Arabidopsis thaliana: one gene and its partners. The protein of the gene in region 2 interacts with the protein of the main gene of each other region in a pairwise test. Each region holds a gene or a part of one and is shown on either strand. Other genes may lie near its edges.

Region 1 (5,682 bases), on a different chromosome or scaffold from region 2:
GGAACGGATCTTGAAAACTGTTAGAACTTATTAAAAAATCAGCATTTGTTCAAAGAAGTCGTGCTTACGAGATACAAATCAACATAATCAAGCTGCAGATCCTGAAGAGTTCTGTTCAATGCGTCCTGTACATCCGGAGGGTCAAGATCAGTCAACCTGTGCTTGCATAATTTGTAGATTTTAATAGGTTAAGAGGCTTAAGCAAACGAGGGAAACTGAAAATGCATAAAAATGATAGAGATGCAGAAACTTCATGAACAAAATACCAGATTTTTGATGTGATGAACAGCTTCTCACGCTTCACTACGCCATCATCAAACAACTTCTTCAGAACTTTCCCAATCTGCAGGTTAAAAAAAGCTTTCAATTTCTCCATCAAGAAAAACAAAAAGCCACATTTCAAATGAACTTGTAAACAGTCTATAACAAATAACTCCATTAATCCTACATAACTTAAAGCTAGTTTAAGAAAAAGATACACAAGACAATGTGTGCAATTGTCATTCCTAAATATAAATTGGTTAACCTTAGTAAGAATTACATAAAACAGCCAATCGAGTAAGAACGATCATACTATATACTGTTCTATATAAAGGCAAATCAAGTAACGAGCCGTCAAAAGATGAACTATATGAAGCAAACTATGGAAGATACAGATTCGGATCGGTGAATTTTACCTCAATTTCATTGCCATATCTTGAAGCACAATCAATATGCTGATATCCAATCTGCAGAAAACGAAATGATTATTAAGTTCTTCTGCTACTGAAACGAATTTCCAAATCAATCCGTAAATCCCAAGATCAACCAATATTGAGGGAAAAACCAAACTATGTAAGGATCAGAACATCTAATCAAAGATCTCTAAGGATCAGTCAAATGAGAAACCATGAGACGGAAAATCACAGAAGAACCTTCACAGCGGCGGCGACGGCGTCTCCAACGACGCCAGGAGCAGCTTGCCATGTCCCGAGACCAACCGATGGGATCTTTGCTCCGGTGTTGAGTTGGAAGAATCCGATTTCGTCCGCCATTGTCAGAGCTTTAGAAGTGAGACTTAGATCTCGAGAACCTTTTACGAAAGACGGAGGAGGTTTGTGTCGACGGAGCGGGAAAATCGTCGGAGTTTTATAACAACAGACGGTTAGTATTCAAACACGTGGATATAACTAAACGCAAATACTTGTGTTTTCATATTTCATGTGATGAGAGTAATTAGTAATTAGTAATTACGATTAGTTAATTCGATGGATGTACCAAAATTTGGACAAACTGGTCTTGTAATATTACGAATTAATTCAGAATAATTTGCCAAAGAGAGAATGATTTATGAAACTAAAAAGGGCTTTTTCAACAATGGAAACTTGAGATAATTTTCGAATAAGAACAGAGGAAACGTGTCTGATTCGAAGATACGAGAAGCTATAATCTGTCAAAAGAGCAAGAACAGTTGAAAACAAAATCACATCGACTAGTACAAAGGATTCTTTTAGGCGACTGGGATCATCGCAGGGTAATCTACGGCTGTGAGTGGTGCATCTGCTACGAGAGCAGCCGGGGCAGCAACCTGAGCAGGTGCATAGATGGCCTCTTCTTCTTTAGGAGAATGAATGATCACAACATCAGGCAATGGTGTCTTTGGTCCTGATATGCCCTTAGGGTCCCAATCAAGCATAACCTTCACCTTGATTCCCAACACACCCTACATATTCGGTTTAACAACACTTTAATTAGACGTTGTTGATTTTTTACTTAACTCTAATAAGAACAACTCAGACGAAACTCACTTGTCTAAGCAAAACATGTCTCACTGCAGAGTCTATGTATTCCTTAGTTGGTTGACCAGATGACACCATGTAGCCATCTTTGAACTTCATAGACTTGGCTCTGGCAGCACGAAGCTTTCCACTCACGATAACCTCGCATCCCTTAGCTCCACTCTCCATAACAAACCTCAACACACCATAGCAAGCCCTATACAACATATAACCATTGCATGAGAACTTAAAGTCATTACACTTAGAAGCTAGACAATACCTATTTGAAACCATACAGAGTCTATAAGAACAATTACTCTATACTAAACATACAACTATAACGATCGGTGAATGCTTATATACACTAGTAACCTATCCAAATCAGTCTCTAATGATAAACTAAACTGATCAAACAAAGTAACATAGCAAACGAACTAGAGAAATGTCGTACCTACGAACAGCGAGACCACCAAGAAGCTTGTAACGTAAAGACTCAGCCTGAGCGATGGCACAGAGACCTCTGTTGTTAACCTTCTCGGCATAAAGCTCAACACTGTCAACTGGAAACTTGAATCTCTTCTGAACAAGGGAAGTCAATTCCCTAATTCTCCTCCCCTTCTCACCTGAAATACAATCAAATTTTACAGTCACTACCGTATAATAGAAGAAATGATTAAGCTCGAAGATCAAAAACATACCGAGAACATTCTGAGTACGTGTAGCTCTGATGATAATCTCAGTCCTCATAGGAGTAACCCTAACCTCAACACCAGAGTAACCATCCTCTGCTAGCTCTCTTGTAAGAACCTCATTCAATTCAGCGTAGAACACACCGTCCGCTACAAACTACAAAATCAAAATCTCAACACAGTTACCAAAACAGTTCCAATACGATAAATCCATTGAAAGAACAAAATGAACAGAATCACACAATTCACCTTTCTCTTCTTGCTGATCTGAGTCGTCATGTTTGCAAATGTGAGAATCTGCCTATATCTGAAACCCTAAAAATGAGCGGCGTAATCTCGAAAGAGATGCTATTAGTACTTATACTTGACCTAATTCAGAAAATCAGGTTTCACATCCAATTTCCTTTGGGCCTATTTGTTGAATAATTTGGCCCATACATTGATAAAATAGTTAAATAATTGGTTTGGGCCCATGGATGTTTTCAATCAAGTAATTAAGAGAAAAAAAAATCTCGCATTTTGAATCTTCTCTGTCATCATTTTCCGGCGACGACAATGGCGTCAGCTGCCAAGAACACTGAGCAAAACCCTTTCTCCTTGAAACCCCCAAGACCTCCGTCTTCCTCCAACGCTGCATCTTCCACCGCTGTGGCTTCCACTTCAGTTGAACCCCAAATTCGGAACCCTAAACCTAGCACAAACGTCTTACCATCGACCTCGAATTCACCGATTACGATGTTACAAGAAGATGAAATCCTCGCAAGCTCTAGTCACCTCACACGCCCAGAGCTTCTCCGACGCCGAGCAGACAACCTAAAGCAGCTGGCCAAGTGTTATAAAAACCATTATTGGGCTTTAATGGAGGATCTCAAGGCGCAACACAGGGATTATTGGTGTAAGTATGGGGTTAGTCAGTTTAAAGACGAACAAAATCAATCGAATAAGAGACGGAGGCTTGATCCAGAAGGTAGTGGAGATAAGGGTAATGATGGTGATCAGTATGCAAACAGCAATTCCGGGTTCTGTATGTATGGATGCAAAGCTAAAGCTATGGCGCTTACCAAATACTGTCAATTGCATATTCTCAAGGATAGTAAGCAGAAGCTCTACACTGGTTGCACAAACGTCATCAACAGGTTTGCTTCAAGTTGTGTTCTTTTATATTGTATAGTCGGTTTAAGATGTTGTAGTGATGATGAATTGAAACTGCAAAGCAATGTTTGTGCCAAGAAATAGTTTCTTTCTTCTTTGAGCCTGCGGAAAGGTTTTAGGATTGAGACTTTGCTCTGTTTCAAAGATTTCCGTAGGGATTGGGAGAAAATTTTAGCTTTGGTAACCGTATATAGATTCGGTACTTTGACTTGTTTCATAACCTTGATTGATGTGCTGCGTTGATATACATAAGTGACAAAGATGTCTCTATTAAGGTATCTTTGCAAACGAGGTAGGGTTATGAGTATTATTAGCATTATTATGTCATCTTTGAAAATGTGTTCCAACTGAACATTGAGATGAGCTCTTTGAAAATGTAAGTGACTTGGAATACAACATTAACCTGGTTTCAGATTGATACACTGTTATTATCAGATTCGGTTTGTTACAATCCAGATTTCATAGATATGTACTTTTTCATGCTGGTTTGTAATTAGCACATGATGATTATTTGAGCGGTTCTCTACTAACTCTGCATTTGTTTGCTTTGTACATTCAGATCTCCAGCAGGACCATTACTTTGTGGAAAACCAACACTAGCATCGACTGTTCCTGTACTGTGTAACGTGCACTACCAGAAAGCACAGAAGAATGTTGCCAAAGCTTTAAAAGATGCTGGTCACAATGTCTCTTCAACAAGCAAGCCTCCCCCAAAGCTCCATGTTATAGTAGCTGCATTTGTGCATCACATTCAAGCACAAAGAAAAAATCCACATAAGGAGGGTAAACTTAAAAGTGTAGTAAAGGAAGAAATGACAAGCTGAGTCAAGCCGCGTTCCCAGAAATAATATATTGGCTTACTATATCTTCTAGAGATCCATCTCTTTCAGTTCTTGTGAGTAGATTTGACTAGCGATGGATTTGTTACAGTGTTGGTATCGGATCTTTTATCAGCACTGAGCTATTAAGAACAGGTTTTGGTACAATGTAGGGTAGCTTAAGATAGGTCTAATTACAGTGGAGTTATTGAGATGATGATTCCACTGTTTGTAAAGACTTGATAAGATGATGATATTTGATCCATAAGCACAAACACTTAACTTGTGTTGGAACTCAATTTAACTCTGTTTTGTTGCAATTTTGATCAATTTTACGAGTTACTACGAAAACTTATGTAATGGTCTAATAGCCACATAGAGACAGGCAAAAAGGCATTGCATTTGCATACACATTTTTAGAACTCAAAAATACAACAAATAATACTTCAGATTCTTAACGACCAAATACAATCGCTAAAAAAAAAAAAAGACAAAAAAAAAAAAAAAAAGTTAGTTTGTGCTGCCACGTAGGATGCTTATCTCACTTATCTCAGTCCACTAAAAAGCAAAGCAAGAAAAAGAGAATGTCAAAGGAGAAACAAGGAAGAAGCTTAGCTTATAATCGAATCTAAGCCGTTTCGGGAAATTCTGTTTGTAGGTGACAAAATCCTCTTATAGGGTTATTCTTAGCTATGAATTTCCTCTGCAATTTCTTTTTTTCCCCGCCAAAATTTCTCCTGAAGCAAATGTAGCTTTTTACTTGCTGAACTAGGGTTTTGTTCGATTTTGTTCCTCTTTCCTCGCTGATTTTGTCGGAATTTCTGGGTTTGGGAAGAGAAATTGGAGTCGTTATTGATTGAAATGAAGAAGCTTTTAGGAGGTCCGGGAACTGTGTGTGGTCTGTTACTGAGAATCGGACAATGTGCTTCAGCTGCTGCTTCAATCGGCGTTATGGTCTCTGCTAAAGAGTTCTCTGTTCACACTGCTTTTTGGTACGGTTTCGCTTTCTTCAAGTTTTGATTTGTTTCCTTTAACCTTGTTTTGTTCGTTTAGTTGTCGGATTTAGTAGAAATGGTAGTGGAATTTCTGCAAGCAATTTTGGTGTTTATTAGTAGTAGTACAAGTCTCGTTGATGTTGATTATGATTTTGGGGTTGGTTTCAGCTACTTGATTGCGTCAATGGGTCTTCAATTGTTGTGGAGCTTTGGGCTAGCATGTCTTGATGTTTATGCTCTCAGGGGAAAGAAAGATCTCCAAAACCCTATC
Region 2 (5,511 bases):
ACAATCAAATTCTTACATCTTGAGTTTGTATTTTTCCAAATCTGAATCCCTCGCATTCAAATTGATTTTATTTTCGTTGAGGTAAAATATTATGTGAGAAAAAAGAGTGGGGAATATGTTGACGAAAAACCATTTAAATAAAATTATCTATATATATCACATCTAACATAAAGAGACATACAGCGTCAGTCTGCATCAGAACGAGTCTATGCCGAAAGGTTTAAGAAATGATGTTTTGCCAACTGTGAAAACGTTTTCAAATGACTTTTATATATAGTTTTAATATCCAAAACACTATGAAAAAAACTATTCCAAGAAAGTGAAAGGCATGTGCGAAAACAACGTGAACGTGAAGGCCAAAAAGAAAATGCAAGTTAAGGTGCATGGATTTGGTAAAGAGAGAGAGATTCATTCCCCCTTCGGACTAAACCAAAATTAGTAATTTACAACTTTTACTTTACCTATATTTGCTAGTATTAATTAATTTAACCGAAGCAATGGTGCAATGCATAGATGTTAAAAACAAAAGAAGGAATGGGGCACCGAAAGATTACCACTTTTATATGATTCCATGGTTCGTACAACTACTAGTCTGTCCAACAAACCAACAGTTCAACAAACTAGAGAATGATAAAATTAAATCTGTTTGGTTTTAACTAACAAAGTTCGTACATGGATGGATCAAGATTTGCAGTTTAGTGGTTTGTAGTATTAGTATTGTAGATGCCATTTCAAATTCGCATAATGCATATTGTTTGGCAAAATAATTTGTATGCAAACCAAAGGAAAATGATATACCGACTTTTACCATGTAGGTTTAAGGAGAATCTATGTATGATAATTTTACATTCATTTACATCACAATGTCTTTCTTAATAACTCAGGAAGTACCAATTTTCTTACATTACCGAGAATGCAAAAGGTAATTATCCATCTGAACCATTGAAAACAAACAGATTGGGAGTAACATTCCCAAGAACCACAATTATAACAAGAAAACTTACAAGCTTGTCTAGCTATTGCATATGCACCAAAGTTTTTCTATCGATTTCTAGAAGATAAGGATGGTCTAAGATGGTTTCTTTGATTACTTAGGATCTCATTTGTGTACGTTCGCAATCTTTGCCATTGGGTTGGCTCACCAAAAGCTTGAACCAGTGAAGACAATGTCTTGTTGAGATAATTTGGGTTTTGAGCTAGTTCACTTTGATAGTGATTCTATACATCACAGTGTCCTTGCTCAAGTTAGTGTATACAACGTCTTGTTTGGATAATTTGGGTTTTGAGCTTGTTCACTTAGATAGTGATTCTATCTATCTAATTTAATGCATGACTTAGCCAGTTCTCCACGGCTGGCTACCACCGTCATCCATCATTTATCTCAAACTAGTTAATTCAAAACAGAAATCAAATTCAAATGAAACCAAAACCCAAACTGGTCCAGCCCAAAACTAATTGAACAAGTTTGGGGTTATGGATATTGCAACCAAAGATTTTGAATTCATATGATTCCAGTTCTAACAACTAGACTAGGTATCAAATCAACAATCCCACAATACAAAAACTCATCTTTAATTCAGAGAGACAGAGAGAAAACATTTAGGATGCTGAGGATGAAGTTGTCTGAAAAGTCATGTCATACTGGTATTTTCAAGTTCCATTTGGGCAACAGTTGTGTTAATAGCATCTATAATCTCCATCTTCTCCGCACCAATAGCTTCATCCATTGGAGTTCTCTCGTACCTACAAAATTTCAAGCTTAAACTGGTTCAGCTTAGTTTCTTGGATAGATTTAGAGGAAAGATTCAAGAGACAAACCGATTCAAAAGACTTAGACTTGCTCCAGCCAAGATCAATCTCTTTACCACCTGTGAGTAGCTTTCCACTTAGTAAAACCGGCGAAACAAAACATGTTTAATCGCGGACATGAGTAACGGTTACCTCGACATGGCCATTCAAGCATGCCCAATGTAGAGGAGCATTGTTCTCATCGTTAAGAGCGTTGATATCCTGCTCAGGAAAACAAAGCCTCAATAATCTCTCTTTTATTCATGTTCAATCGTTTCCATCGATAGAACACCGAGAATTTAGCAAGGGGTTGTTGTTATCTTACCACTCCTTCACTGATAAGATACTCCACTATAGTCATATGTCCATTCGCTGCGGCCATATGCAGGGCTTTGATGACAAACAAAAGATAAAAGAAACAATGTTCCAAGAGTTAACAATACATTTCAAACTCCTTAATCTGAGTAACCGAACATACAAGGATAAGAGTAAGAACACCAACATATTCCTAACCCCAAAAACAGTAACAAATGATGAAATAAGCCAAGGGTACAATTTTTACGCATCAGTTACTCCAAAATTTCATAAATCTAGACGAGTAATTCACTCACTACACACTACAAGTATCTCAGCAAGAGTTTTAAGAATCTCAATTGACAGTGGCATTAAAGAAAAAGTGAAGCTATTAACTGGAAAAATTGAAACTTGAGAACAAACACAGAATGTAGAAGAAACCTGTTCGGCCTTGTGAATCACGAGAGTGAAGAGAGAGACCATCAGAGGCCAAGGTTCTGAGATCATCAATATCATTGTATCTAGCAGCCTGTCAATTCAAAGAAGTAAACTTTAGCTCACCCAATTAAAAGTGGTGGGCATGAATCGATTGGAAGAGAACAACATGGATTTAGTGATGAAGAGAAGGAGACAGACCTCCAGCAAGTCGTCGACTTTCTCTGCAACTCCGTTTGTCTCTGCTCCCATCCTCCACCGGCCAATACCAATTTCAGTCTGAGGGTTTCTGGTTTCACTTGGTTTTTGTCCGATTCCTTTTTTTTTTTGTGTTTGGTTTTGCTATAAATACAGTATTTATGTAATTAAAGTAAAATTATGGAGTACCAACTAAAAATGATAAAGTGATGTCATTTTTATGAAAACCAATTTTCATGAATTTTGAATGCATATAAAAATATGAAAAAAGGTCAAATATAATTCATATTTTAGTTATTGTACTCTTTATCTACTTCATATCTAAATAAAATAAATAAATAAAACATTAAAGTATACATTTTTTGAGCACCGCATAAATATTAATTTTATTTTGGGTCGCCGCTTGATTTTCTGGTGGGGAAGTCGTAATCGTTAAATTAGGGTCTTCCCTTCTTCTTCTTCTACATCTCCTCAGCCGTTTCCTACGGAGGATTCCGATCGATCCCTTTTCTCTTTTTTTTTTTTTCTTCTGGTCACCGAATCATTGTCATACCCCACTTTGAGCTCACAACTCTTCTTCCTCAGATTGCTTGATTAGGGTTTTCTTCTGCTTGCCGAATTGATTTCCAAGGAACAACTTTTTATTTATTTTCATCACCTAATCTTTCGTTTTCAGATTCCGAGTATCCAAATAATATTTTTATATTTTCTCTTTCGCCGCCATGAGTTCCTCGATCCAGATCGTTGTTGAGGAGAAGCAAGTGGATGTTTTGCCTCTTCAAGATCAGGTTTTGTTTTTGTATTGTCCCTTATGAATCATTGAAATTAATCTGCGATATCTAAAATGGAAGATGAAGTTTCTGTTTTGATTTGTGGTTGATTCCCTCCATCTTTAGCTCTTGAATTCTGAATTGATCTATGAAATGTTCTGAGAAATTAGGGAATTTGTGAATGTTGCTTCTGATATCTCGTTGTGTGTGTAATGTTGTACTTGGGATGGCTTCAATTCGGGATCTTTGCTTGGATTTACGTCTTTTGTAGTTTGGTTGTTACCTGTGGAGTGTCTGATGTTGAAACTCTGTCTTATGTACACGAATTTGTTTCTGTCTTTAGGATGAAAAGAAGACTCCACAAGTGTTCAATGAGCTGAGTTTCGGGAACCATGGGGGCTGTTGTGCAATTTGCTTGGATACTATACCTCTTCAAGAAACAGCTATGGTTAAAGGCTGTGAGCATGCTTACTGGTACGTGTGGTCGATTTTTGTTTTTTTCAGAGTATTTTGTTTTGTTGCTAGTGGAGTGTATATCCTTTTTTATATGAGGAATGATACTGGTTTGGTTATAAGTGATCTGTTTATCAATATTTAGTCTGATACTGTGGAAGTTACCATTTGTGGTTTAAGGCATTTGTTTTGTTAGATCAGTTTTAGCTCTCATCTCAGGTTTCTGAACGATCGACTTTGGCCTTGCTTTAAACCTGTTATAACGTTTTTCTGTTTCTTTCGTTTGAACAGAATAAGTATGTTTGATTAGAAATGAAATAGGATATATACTGACTTTTGTCTTTTCATTTTTAAGAGGAATGATTCATTTCTATCTATATATAGTGTGACGTGCATACTCCGTTGGGCAAGTTACAAGGAGAAACCTACCTGCCCACAATGTAAGCTTCCATTTGATTTTCTCAATGTCCACCGCGCTCTCGATGGAAGGTAAAATTTCCATCCTTGTTTACATTTGGCTCCATTTTAAACTCCATTTACTTGACTGGCGGTGTGCCTTTATTGCTTTAGTTTACTCTTGGCTTTTACATCATTTTCTGTACTTCTTCCTTTGTAACTAATTTTGTCTGTTATATATCATTGCAGCGTTGAAGATTTCATGTTCGAGGAGAGTGTATGCCTCCTCCTGAGGGCATCATGGTTCCAGCCACTGGAAGCAGTGGAGCGGGTTTCAGACAATGACAATTTCAACTATGATTTCGACATTCCACCTGAGTATGAGGAGGAGGATGAGGACGACGATGACCTTGACGAGTTTTATATGCAAGGTTCAAGTCTTCGATTAGGAAACCGGAGGTGGGGTGACAATGGATTTGTGAGGGCAGGCCGCCAAGAAGCAAGGCCAGTCCAACATAAGAACCGAGGTGGCCAGGCTTCTGGCTCTGAACCCGCCTCTTCATCCTCATGTGAGCCAAAGGAGAAGACTAGCAGTGCCATAACAGGAAGGCGTGCAAAGAGGGCAATGAAGCGTGAAGCTGCAAACAAAGCTGCGGAAGCAGTAGCAGCTGCAAAGCATGAGGCCCTTTTGGTTAGGTTGGGAAGGAAGTGACTGTGGTTGTATCTCTGTAATTACATCAACCCACCCCAACCCCAAATGACCAAATCCTTTGACTTCGATACTTGAGAATCTGTACATCAGTAGAATTTAATAATGGTAGAACTTGTTGAACCTTTGTCGTTAAGATGCTTTGTGCTAGATTTGATTTATTTATCTGCAACTTTCTTGATCACTTGCTTGATGAGTGAGAGATACTCTCGCTTATGATGTGGGAATTGATCATATGGAATGAAGATTAAGTGGTTATGGTAATGATGATGATGAGTGGGTTTTAGTGGGGTCTGCAATTGACTGTGGCCAAATTTTGGGTGGTGTAAACTGCAACGCCAAGCAAAATCAAAGCTATTAAAACATACCTTTTTAATTTATTCATCAGAAAACTAGACATCTCAATCCCTTACCTACCCCATTAAGACCATGGAATCATTAGTCTAAGTCAAATATGTTGACCAATAT
Region 3 (5,955 bases), on a different chromosome or scaffold from region 2:
CCGGAAAACTCTCGCCGGAAATTTTTGCCGGAATTCCATCGCCGAAACCCACCACCGGAACTCCCTTGCCGGAAAACCCTCGCCGGAGCTCCGTCGCCGGAAACCTTCGCCGGAACTCATACCACCACCACCGTTGGTCATTTTTTATACCCTTCATGTTAGTTTCTTAATTGATACATATAGTATGCTATATTCTTAATTTTTTAGTAGAAAAGTGTTATTCTTGCAAATGACCTTATAATAAAATGGACACTCTTGTGAAAAAAAAATAAAAAATTGAGATATGTCATGTTCCAAAAAGTGATACTGAGACCATATCTGAACTCTTATTCAAACTGTTAACTTCAACTGTAACATGAAACCATGTCAGTTGTAAATAAAAAATTGACAGAATCAAACGAGTGATGTTAACGTTTTTTTAGGAGGTTTCAGAATACCTCCCATGTTTAGATATGTTTCTTGTTGCTTGTTCTGTTCTGAATCCTTTTCACGTTGTAGGATTATCATGTTTTTGCGTTTGGATGAGTCGCCAAGGTGCAGGTTATTGTTGGAATCCCTATCCTCAACACGTCTTGATGATTCTCCTGTTTCATAAACCCGTCTGACTCCTGGTGTGGGCGCAGCAACAGAGGATTGAAGTCTGCCAATACCACTTTGAGTAGTAGGATGAGTGTAAGGCTGGAAGGCTGCAGTTCTTGAAGATGAGAAGTAGGGAGTAGCAGCAGCTAACCTGATTACATCTAAACCGGCCAAATTTGGTTCCTTTTTACTTTTTTAGTATCCGGTCGCTACTTTTGGTTGTGACTATTCCGGTTCCTCTTGAAATTAGTTTCCTAAATTAAAACGTTCGGAAAAATTCTAAACCGGATAGCCAAAAATCGAAGTATGCCAAGTTTTGGCCACCCATAATTTCGAAAATACAATTTGTCAATTGCAAAGCATCGTTGCCTGAGTCTCCCATTAGCCATTAGACCATTTCGATTTTGCATACGCTTTTCACAAGTAAATTTTAGAAATGAACAAAATTGCAACTAAACTGAAATGGACATCTCCAAATGTTAGAATGAGTTCCAACTTCCAACACACTAGTTTTTGTGCTTATGGATCTGTTATCTTCTTATTAAGCCTAATAAACTACCACTATCTAAACTACTATACCCTACCGGACACTGTAACAAAACCTCTCTTAATAGCTCAGGGCAGATAAACATCCGATACCTACACTGTAACAAAATCTGTAGACGATTAAGAGCGCAACATAATACGTTTTATGTCACTTCTTAGAATGATATAGTAAGGCAGAGATCCTCACCTTTTCCCTTCTGGGACATACACAAAAATAACTTCTGGCAACGCTAACAGCTCAACTCAGCTTGTATTTTCTTCTTTTACTACACTTTTAAGTTTACACTCCTTCTGTGGATTTTTTCGTTTCGCTTGAATATGATGCACAAACGCAGCTACTATAACATGGAGCTTTGGGGGAGGCTTGCTTGTTGAAGAGACATTATGACCAGCATCCTTTAAAGCTTTAGCCACATGCTTTTGGGCTTTCTGGAAGTGTATATTACACAGTGCAGGAACAGTCGACGCAAGTGTTGGTTTTCCACAAAGTAATGGTCCTGCTGGGGCTCTGAATGTACAATGGAAACAATGCAGAGTTAGGTGAGAATTGCTTAAATTATCATTATATGCTAATTACAAACCAGCATACAAACTTACCTATATATGAAATCTAGGTTGTAAAAACTCAAATCTGAAACTTGGTTTATGTTTTAATACTACCACAATGGGACTATTCTAACACAAATACATTTTCAAAGGGTGATATAGTTATGCTAATACTCATATCCTGACTATTTTACAAATACACATCAAAACAGACAACTTCAAGCATCTGCGTCAGTTATGTGTATCAACCAGAACAACAAAGCACATAGAGCAATATTTTAACACAAGGCAACTACTGAATCTATAAATGATTACCGACGATCACTATCTCGATGTCCAAAGCTAAGACTTCTCCCAAACCCTATGAAAAACTTTGAAAAAAAGTCAAGTGTCAATCCCAAATCCTTTCTGCAAACTTGAAAAAAAAAGAGAAACAATCTCTTGGCTCACTACATAACACAAAACAGCTTTGCAGTTTCAATTCATCATCACTACAACATCTTCACCAACTATAATATGCAAAGAACACAACTTGAAGCATCAATTACTTTGGTTTATACGAGAATTTTAAAACCAAATAAAGGGAAAGTGAAACAAACCGTTTAATGACGTTTGTGCAACCAGTGTAGAGCTTCTGCTTACTATCCTTGAGAATATGCAATTGACAGTATTTCGTAAGCGCCATAGCTTTAGCTTTGCATCCATACATACAACTCCCACAATTACTATTCGCATACTGATCACTCTTAACACCATCATTGTTAGTAACATTGTCTCCACTACCTTCAACAGCATCACCACCATCTCCGATATCTCCCTCTTGACCAAGCCTCCGTCTCTTATTCGATTGATTATTTTCGTCTTTAAACTGACTAATCCCATACTTCCACCAATAATCCCTGTGTTGTGCCTTGACATCCTCCATTAAAGCCCAATAATTGTCTCTATAACACTTGGCCAGCTGCTTCAGGTTGTGTGATCGGCGTTTGAGAAGCTCCGACCGGGTTATGTGACTGGAGCGTGCGAGGATTTCATCTTCTTGTGACATCGTAATCGGTGAATTCGATGTCGACGGTAAGCCGCTGGTGCTAGGGTTAGGATTTAAGGTAGAGTTTCGAATTAGGGGCTCGGCTGAGGTGGAAGCCACTGCGGTTGTTGATGCAGCGCCGGAGGAATACGGAGGCCGTGGTGGTTTCGAGGAGAAAGGGTTTTGCTGAATGTTCTTGGAAGCTGACGCCATTGCCGTCGTCGGAAAATGACAGAGCTTCAAAATCAGATGTTCTTGTCGGGAATGAAATTATTAATTTTTAAAAAATAATATTAGTACTTAAATTTTAAAATATATTAAAGCCCATAAAATGTCCATTGGGCTGACATATTCAACAAATAGGCCCAAACTCAATTGGATGTGAGACCTAAGTTTCTGAATTAGGTCAATATAAATACTAAAATCATATCTGATAACGAACACGAGCTTACCGATTCTCTTCGTCTCAACATTTAGGGTTTCAGAGATCGGCTGATTTTCACATCCACAAGTATGGCGACTCAAATCAGCAAGAAGAGAAAGGTGAATTGTGATTTCATTTTTTGTTTTCAGTGGACTTCTCTAGCTGTATCGTATTGGAACTGATCTGGTTACTGTGTTTGTAGTTTGTAGCGGATGGTGTATTCTACGCTGAATTGAATGAGGTTCTCACAAGAGAGCTAGCAGAGGATGGTTACTCTGGTGTTGAGGTTAGGGTTACTCCAATGAGGACTGAGATTATCATCAGAGCTACTCGTACTCAGAATGTTCTTGGTATGTTTGTTTGATCATTTCTTCTCTCTTTCGATTTTGAATGTGTTTCGAGATCTGATATCGAAAATGTTGGGTTTTAGGTGAGAAGGGGAGGAGAATTAGGGAATTGACATCTCTTGTCCAGAAGAGATTCAAGTTTCCAGTTGACAGTGTTGAGCTCTATGCTGAGAAGGTTAACAACAGAGGTCTCTGTGCCATTGCTCAGGCTGAGTCTCTACGTTACAAGCTTCTCGGTGGTCTTGCTGTTCGCAGGTACGACATTTCTCTAGTATGTTTTTGTGTATTCTCTCTCAATTGCTGTTGTTATTGTTTAGCTTACTTGGTCCTAATAGTGAAATGTATAGGATACAACTGTAATTATATTTCTCAGTGGGGTTTCTGTAAATGCGCACTCTTTATAGATTTTGTGTAATAGTTATGTTTCTATCTACTGAACACACTGATGATACATAATGTGTCGACAAGGCTATTGCATCTCTTTTTTCACTTGAACTTCTCATCCTTAATATTGCAATGGTATATTTGATATACAGGGCCTGTTATGGTGTTTTGAGATTTGTTATGGAGAGTGGAGCTAAGGGATGTGAGGTCATCGTGAGTGGAAAGCTCCGTGCTGCACGTGCTAAGTCCATGAAGTTCAAGGATGGTTACATGGTTTCATCTGGTCAACCAACTAAGGAATACATCGATGCTGCAGTGAGACATGTTTTGCTCAGACAGGTATGCTTTCTAATGAGTCTCTTATCTACCATTTAGTGAGTAAGTATACCGGCTTTGTCTAATCTTGTTGGTTCAATCCGTATTTGCAGGGGGTGTTGGGAATCAAGGTGAAGATCATGCTTGACTGGGACCCTACGGGCAAATCAGGACCAAAGACACCATTGCCTGATGTTGTGATCATTCATGCTCCTAAAGATGATGTTGTCTACTCTGCACCTGCTCAGGCTGCTGCTCCAGTTACTCTTGTGCAAGAAGCTCCACTCACAACCGTAGATTACCCTGAGATGATTCCTCCAGTGGCCTAGAGAAGACCTTTTTTACTATTACTCCATGGGATTTTGTTCTTTTTGTTATAACTTTTCTACTTTTGACACTCTCTAGTCGTATCTCTTATATCCTCCAAGCAGACAAGTTTTTTCTCATGTTGTTTCTTAACCTATGTCAAGTTTTCTGGAGGTTGAATGCTTTTAGTTCCATGATTTTTTTGTTCTTAAGACTCGTAATAAGAAAAAGAATGACGACAACAATGCCTGGTATTTGATGTTGTTACTTTGAATTATCATTTTGCTCAGAACACTTTATTCGAAAATAACAAAAACTAAAATGTTTGGAGCTCTCATTATCTTTTACGGTTTTACAAAAGGATAGAGCTCGTACCTAAAAGTACAACTCGGATTCAAAACTCTTCCTCCTTGTTTACCGTTGCAGCATCTGGGAAGCTTTGCAATAATCGAATCCAAACACACACTGCAATTTTTAACTGATAAGTCTTGTGTACACTGCATCATCCCATACAATTTCGTCGTCCCGAGACTTTCCTCCCCCGCTGCATACATGTAGTCTCTTGTGTAAGGCTCTTGTTCTTTACGAATTGCTTTCTCCTTGAGCTTATCTAGGAGAGCCTTTGTGTTCTTGTTGAACAACTTTTTATTGCCGCTCACATCTTTGGCATTGTGCAAATACAAATAGTGCTTGAAATCAATCTTCTCGTAGGTATATATCTCGGAAATGTAGAGAAAACAGTTGTCGTACCATATTATTCTCCCTCTGTTGTTCGGACATCTCCTAAGAATCTGTCACATATTTACAATATATATAAATATGTTGGGACATATTTCCTAAGAAATGCTAAGATATAACTAAAACTAATGTATGCATGCATTTATATATATATATATGTAAGTATATGGGACAGCTAACCGATAATATTGTAATGACGTTACCCCAGAGAAGGCGGTAAAGAGGCAAGAGCGGCACTTGGATTCGGAGGCATCTCCCCGACATTGGGCCTTGATGTAGTAGGTACTAGAATCCGCACCACCAACACCGTGGATGAAACCGTAGTCTAGAATGTTAGACATACTGTCGAGATGATCTTTGAGTCTGCTCTCGTATGAATTCTTTGCCTTGTATTTTCCTTCACTGTTGATGCATATGTGTTGCAGATACGAATTGGTCTGATTTAGGGACAAAACATTGTGGATAAAAGAGAATTGCATGGCCACCACGACCAAGATAGAGATGGATACAGAGGAAGAAAACATTGTGTTAGAGTGTTTTTATATTTGCTCATTTCAGTTTGTAGAAAAGAATGACTCTAGTCTTTTAAATGACAAGAGAGAGGAGTGTTTGGGTGTGAGACTTGGTATTTACGGCGAGGGAAAAGAAGGACCCATGAAAAGGTCAAAGTTGAAAAGTTTTGAAACTTTTAAAATCTGAATTTACTCTACATTAAAATTTCAAATTTGTTACACGTTAGCTAT

What was found.
Region 1: the proteins of AT5G12320 (region 2) and AT3G53870 interact in a two-hybrid assay, tested with the Arabidopsis thaliana proteins (one large-scale study listed by BioGRID).
Region 3: the proteins of AT5G12320 (region 2) and AT2G31610 interact in a two-hybrid assay, tested with the Arabidopsis thaliana proteins (one large-scale study listed by BioGRID).

What each region holds. Positions count from the first base shown.
Region 1 is NC_003074.8:19,948,590-19,954,271, reverse strand, and holds AT3G53870 (Ribosomal protein S3 family protein), read right to left. Parts: upstream 2,849-5,682; 5' UTR 2,726-2,848; coding exon 2,696-2,725; intron 2,604-2,695; coding exon 2,456-2,603; intron 2,381-2,455; coding exon 2,209-2,380; intron 1,975-2,208; coding exon 1,788-1,974; intron 1,703-1,787; coding exon 1,490-1,702; 3' UTR 1,254-1,489; downstream 1-1,253. Other genes in the region: AKR4C11 (NAD(P)-linked oxidoreductase superfamily protein), read right to left, coding at 69-156, 267-343, 678-728, 915-1,034; AT3G53860 (INO80 complex subunit D-like protein), read left to right, coding at 3,002-3,582, 4,158-4,422; AT3G53850 (Uncharacterized protein family (UPF0497)), read left to right, coding at 5,278-5,408, 5,580-5,682.
Region 2 is NC_003076.8:3,980,020-3,985,530, reverse strand, and holds AT5G12320 (ankyrin repeat family protein), read right to left. Parts: upstream 2,955-5,511; 5' UTR 2,770-2,954; coding exon 2,719-2,769; intron 2,612-2,718; coding exon 2,524-2,611; intron 2,179-2,523; coding exon 2,114-2,178; intron 2,011-2,113; coding exon 1,942-2,010; intron 1,869-1,941; coding exon 1,819-1,868; intron 1,744-1,818; coding exon 1,632-1,743; 3' UTR 1,419-1,631; downstream 1-1,418. Other genes in the region: AT5G12310 (RING/U-box superfamily protein), read left to right, coding at 3,438-3,503, 3,829-3,959, 4,323-4,427, 4,584-5,046.
Region 3 is NC_003071.7:13,447,173-13,453,127, forward strand, and holds AT2G31610 (Ribosomal protein S3 family protein), read left to right. Parts: upstream 1-3,068; 5' UTR 3,069-3,211; coding exon 3,212-3,241; intron 3,242-3,324; coding exon 3,325-3,472; intron 3,473-3,552; coding exon 3,553-3,724; intron 3,725-4,005; coding exon 4,006-4,192; intron 4,193-4,281; coding exon 4,282-4,497; 3' UTR 4,498-4,810; downstream 4,811-5,955. Other genes in the region: AT2G31590 (uncharacterized protein), read right to left, coding at 413-740, 865-961; AT2G31600 (INO80 complex subunit D-like protein), read right to left, coding at 1,369-1,633, 2,271-2,911; AT2G31620 (Receptor-like protein kinase-related family protein), read right to left, coding at 4,819-5,265, 5,416-5,736.